2 linked regions of the Kluyveromyces lactis genome follow. The protein of the gene in region 1 purifies or fractionates together with the protein of each later gene. This does not show direct contact. Links are inferred from orthologs where the notes say so. Each region holds a gene or a part of one and is shown on either strand. Other genes may lie near its edges.

Region 1 (2,588 bases):
TAATAGTTTTTTTATCCCTAGACTGGTATTGAAATGCTTTCTTAATCTAGATTGCTCATTCACTTCCATGACATAGAGCTCGCTGTTCGCATGAAATGCTACAAGGCCCCCCGACGGACTGATGACCATTTGTTCTGGAACGAATGGAAGCTCCACATTATAACTCCTGTATTGCGTTTCGTGGTCTGATTGCACTCTTAAGATGTTGTCCTGCCATAAATAAATAGTGTTGGAATTGTTGCAGACAAGACGGTCGGAAGGGTTCAGAGACACTTCCTGGAAGATTGCCTTCAAATCTTCTGTATTGAAGAGTAACATCCCACTATATTGGTTCAATATCCGGCAGTTAAAGTTATGGAAGAGAAGGTACCACAGTTAGATCGCCAGTTGATCTGTGTTACGTGTATTTCAAGAAGCGTGAGAGTAGTTCATCGTCGATATATTTTGAATATTTTGAACTTTAATAGTAAAAAAAAAAAAATACCTATAGCAGATCCAGTATTGCAGAAAAGGAAGTGTACGAAAGATATCAAAAAGTTATGTTAGATATGTGTCTTTATGTCATTTTTATATGTATATATATTTACAGGCGTGAATCATACTGTGGGTCCGTTAAATCTTTGCTAAGAAGTTATTTTGTTTGATGTTGGCACGGTTGGCTATCCTTAATTGTTTTTTTCTTAGCTTGATTGGATCAGCTGCTAGTTTTTCAGCTTGGACGTTGGCATCAAGCACTGTCCAGAGCCATTCAGGGTATTCGCTGTCTTCTAATGCCACGGGTTCCTTACCGGATTTCTTGATTTGTAAGTTCAATGGAGTGCCAGCTGGACATGATGACACGATCTTGGCAGCTTGGCCAGATGCCTCGCTTTTCACTTGGTTAAATAGCACGCGAGTCACTCTCAACATTTCTCTCTTTATATAATATGAAAAATAACCGATTTGTTATGGTGGGTATGTGGTTGCCGATACCAATTCGAACCTCAACAATAAGTTTTGGCAAGTTTGTCCTGCCTTGCGGCTATCAAAGTTCATGATCATTTACAGTCCAATTTGAATTTCTATGGTACAAAATGTTGATTTTATCGAAATTTTTCATTCAAAAACTAAGAATTCACAAAACGCCAAGCAGGGTAATGGCGAAATCCATGACGACATTATAGAGGGACCAGGCCGCGTAGTAGCATAGTTTCGGGCTAAACACGGACCAAATGAATAGGTGGTACCTTAGTGCAATGCACGCTATCATTAGACATGTTCCGGTGATATAGTAATGCTGCAAGCGTAGTGTCTTCTGTTTGTAGCTTTGAGGAATTAGTGAGAGAGCCCAGTAGATGGATGGTGCGTAGTTAGACAAGAACATTAATACACCAACAACGTATATGTTATAGTTGCTACTAACACCATTGTATGCATTAGTTAGATTGACAGTTGCAATGGAGTTCGTACCACCAAATTGGAAAAAAGTGAGGTTTTGTAGACATAATGAGAAAATTGGTGTGATGTCCGGTGTGACGCTAGTCAGTATTTCAAATATTAGAAACAATGGGATATTTGCAGATGAAGTTTGGAGCAACAAGACGAATTTTATAACACTCAGTAGTTTGTTTAACATATTGGTGCTTTTATTCAAGGCGTATTTCATGAAAAGAAGGATTATAATAGATACACCACATATTTGGAAGAAAATCCGAGCGATAGGCACTAAACATTGTGAAATATCTGATTCTGTAGCATTTTCATTAGCTAGATACATGGCGCATGATCTAAGTGCGAATGTGTATAGACCGCTTGGGACTTTATCCCCGTTAACAATAGCAAAGCATATTTTGTAAGTTATCGAGGACAAGGCCAAAAAGGACACGGAGAGTAATGATACCATTTTCTCTGATTCGTCTTTGTTTCTCAAAAATGGGAAACCCACGGACAAGAAAGTCACTACATTTAACCACCATAGGACTGATGTATGTGATTTTAAAAGAGTGTGTAGAACATTGTCGTATATATATTTTTGGCCACTATTGTTCCAACCACGAATCAGCCTTAATCCAGATAGCACAACCAGTTTTTTCCCGTTCGATATTTGCATCAGTAGAAGTACGGATATCGTGATCCACCACCATATTTGATGTTCTTCTTCAATAAAACTACTTGCAAACATGCTTATTCCTAATAGCACCGAAGTACCAACATGTTCAATATATTCCTGACTTAGTTGGAAATTCCATACCGTGACTATGAGCGTTCCAATTATCATGAGAGTAGTACCATAAGTTAAGAAAGTGTAATTGTAATTTGTAGCAGCCATTGCTAAAGAAGATTGAATTTCCCTCATCTCCTCCAACAGAGTTCCTGCACTTTTCTTCTCGAGTTGTGCTTCATAGCCTGGTTTCAACTTAGTTAACTGTAGATAATTATCTTGCACTTTAATCGCTGCTAACTTGGATGGAAGCAATTGCAGGAGCTCATCAATTATAACACCCATACTATTCTTAGGAATTGGAAGATTGAAAAGCATACTCAACGTTGGAACAATATCGATTTGTTCTACTTCTTTCAAGTACTTGTAGTCTGGATGAGCATCTTCA
Region 2 (2,756 bases), on another chromosome or scaffold:
TCTCTCAGAATCAATATACTCCAAAATCTCGTCACAGCTCCGTTGCTGATTTGAAGAGATTCTTTAAAAAACACGGTAACTCCTCCGCTTCATACAGTGAGTCTCCACCAATCAGTGCTAACTTTTCAAATGCAAGCGGTGCAAGTGCAGGATTTGCGCCTGGATCATTGGGATCCAATGACGTTGTGTACGCTGCTTCGCATGTACCTGCATTACCATTCAGTAAACGTTACCTTAAAACTGGGGAAAATTTGGGTGCCGGTGCCGGTGGTTCCGTTAGATTAATGAAAAGGATCAGTGATAACCAAGTCTTTGCTGTAAAAGAATTCAGACCAAAGTTTGAACACGAAAGTAAGCGTGATTATGTGAAGAAAATTACTTCTGAATACTGTATTGGTACAACTTTACGTCATCCAAACATCATATCCACTATTGAAATTGTTTACGAAAACAACAGGATCTTCCAAGTCATGGAGTATTGTGATTATGACCTTTTCGCCATCGTCATGAGTAATAAGATGTCGTATGAAGAAATCTGTTGTTGTTTCAAGCAAATCTTGACCGGTGTAGAATATTTACACAGTATTGGTCTGGCGCATCGTGATATGAAGTTGGACAACTGTGTAATAAACAACCAGGGTATAGTGAAGTTGATTGACTTCGGTGCTGCAGAAGTCTTCTCCTACCCCCACTCAAAAACTTTAATCGAGTCAAGTGGCATTGTTGGAAGTGATCCATATTTGGCTCCCGAAGTTTGTATATTTACCAAGTATGACCCAAGACCTGTTGATATATGGTCCGTTGCCATTTTGTTTGCATGTATGGTATTAAAGAAATTCCCATGGAAGATACCTAAGTTAAAGGATAATTCCTTCAAATTCTTCTGTTCGGGAAGAGACTGCGATTCCTTGAGTGCTTTAGTCACAAAAACACCTAAACCGCCAAGTTATGACAATGCCGTCCAATCTGATGAGCCAGCTGAGAGCACATCTAAATCGAACAACCCATCTGATCCAAACAACACGAATATTGGTCCTCAAAGACTACTTCATTCCTTACCGGAAGAGACCCACCACATTATCGGTAGGATGGTAGACTTGGCTCCTGCTTGTAGAGCCAATATTGAAGAAGTATTAAATGACCCTTGGATTCAATCCATTGACATGTGCACCGTTGAAGTAGACAACCAAGGTAACTACGTCGTGCACCCTGGAATGGACCACAAACATACCCAAGTTGATCAAAGCGAAGCCCACATTGCTGGTCTTGAAAAGAAAAAAAAGGCAAAATAAATTAAGAGAGAGAGTAAAACTAGCAATCCGGCTGAGGTATGTTCTACAGCATGTTTTATCAAATAAGAGTAACTCTTCTGAGACGACATAGACTTCTAATTGTTGTGCAATCGTTATAAATTATCTCTCCTGTAAAAGTACACAAATGTATAAAATATTTAAGAACAATTCTTGGCATTCTCATAAAATTAATGCTTTATAACGTTAGCAACCTTTGGCATGAAGTCGGTACACATCGCAGCATATGGTTCTATTTAGCAGACAATGAATTGTGCTTATTAGAAAGTGTATAATGGAAAACAATGTGCGGGTAATAACTTCAAAATTTTCTTTGGCCTAAAAAATTCTTGGAGATATGCCAGATTATAAGCTGGTAAAAATCGATGGCTTAAAGTAAGATGTGCATTCAATCCGATCAATTGCCTCGAACAAAATATCGAAACAGTAAGTCCAGGAAGCGCCAAACAGGACCATGTCGAAGGTTCTTAAGAACGTGATAGTCAAACTTATTGTCGGAGCAGGTCAAGCTGCGCCTTCTCCTCCAGTTGGTCCAGCTTTAGGGTCTAAAGGTATTAAAGCTATTGATTTCTGTAAAGAGTTCAATGCCAGAACAGCAAACTTCCAACCGGGTACTCCGATTCCAGTACTCATCAATATCAAACCAGATAGAACATTTTCGTTTGAAATGAAAAGCCCTCCTACTGGATATCTTTTATTGAAGGCATTAAGTCTTGAGAAGGGACACGGACAACCAAATATCAGTAACCCTGATAATGTATGTGGTGAACTGTCGTTAAAACATATATATGAGATCGCCAAGATCAAGAAGACCGATGGAAGACACGCTGCTCTGGAACTTGAAGGAATCGTAAAGTCTATTATCGGTGTTGCTAAGAGTATGGGTATTAAGGTAGTTCCATAAACTGACTTTTTTTTCACTAATCAAAGCATCGATTTGTGAAATAGTGAAGGTCTCGATGGAGAGTTTCATTCCAACTGGTTTATTAGCATTTGTAGACCTCATTTCGTGTACATAAAATAGAATAATGAAAAGATAAAATTATAATAATATATCAACTACTATAGATGAAGATGTATATGATGATCCAAATGAACTGAAACCGAAGTGAAAAAAGATGAACTGAAGTCAGTGTGAGGTAGATGCATGTATGACTGTTTACAAAGAAAGAATGAACAAGGATGCAAGTGTATTGTAAGCCGGTAGTTTAAGGAAAGGGTTATTCAAACTTATGGGGAAATCCTTCTCTTCTTGTTTTTTTTCTTATTCTTACGTTTAGAGTTGTTCTGCGATGATGAGTGTGAAGATGGAGGTCTTTGCAATTGCGGAATACCTAGATCAGTAGATTTATTGGAAGATTGAGAGGAAAGTGGGACCGATTTTGGTGTAAGTCTAGTGTACACTAAGAAGTACGCGTTTGGCTCTTTCAAAAGCTGTTTTTCTGA

The links.
Region 2: the proteins of MRPL37 (region 1) and MRPL19 purify together in Saccharomyces cerevisiae (affinity purification with mass spectrometry, with the first as the bait; 3 studies listed by BioGRID). This does not show direct contact. The link is inferred for Kluyveromyces lactis from reciprocal best matches to the Saccharomyces cerevisiae genes MRPL37 and MRPL19.

What each region holds. Positions count from the first base shown.
Region 1 is NC_006042.1:158,355-160,942, forward strand, and holds MRPL37 (mitochondrial 54S ribosomal protein mL54), read right to left. Parts: upstream 910-2,588; coding exon 613-909; downstream 1-612. Other genes in the region: linker nucleoporin NUP82, read right to left, coding at 1-318; mannose-ethanolamine phosphotransferase LAS21, read right to left, coding at 1,115-2,588.
Region 2 is NC_006040.1:715,506-718,261, forward strand, and holds MRPL19 (mitochondrial 54S ribosomal protein uL11m), read left to right. Parts: upstream 1-1,764; coding exon 1,765-2,214; downstream 2,215-2,756. Other genes in the region: serine/threonine protein kinase NPR1, read left to right, coding at 1-1,292; ubiquitin-specific protease UBP10, read right to left, coding at 2,541-2,756.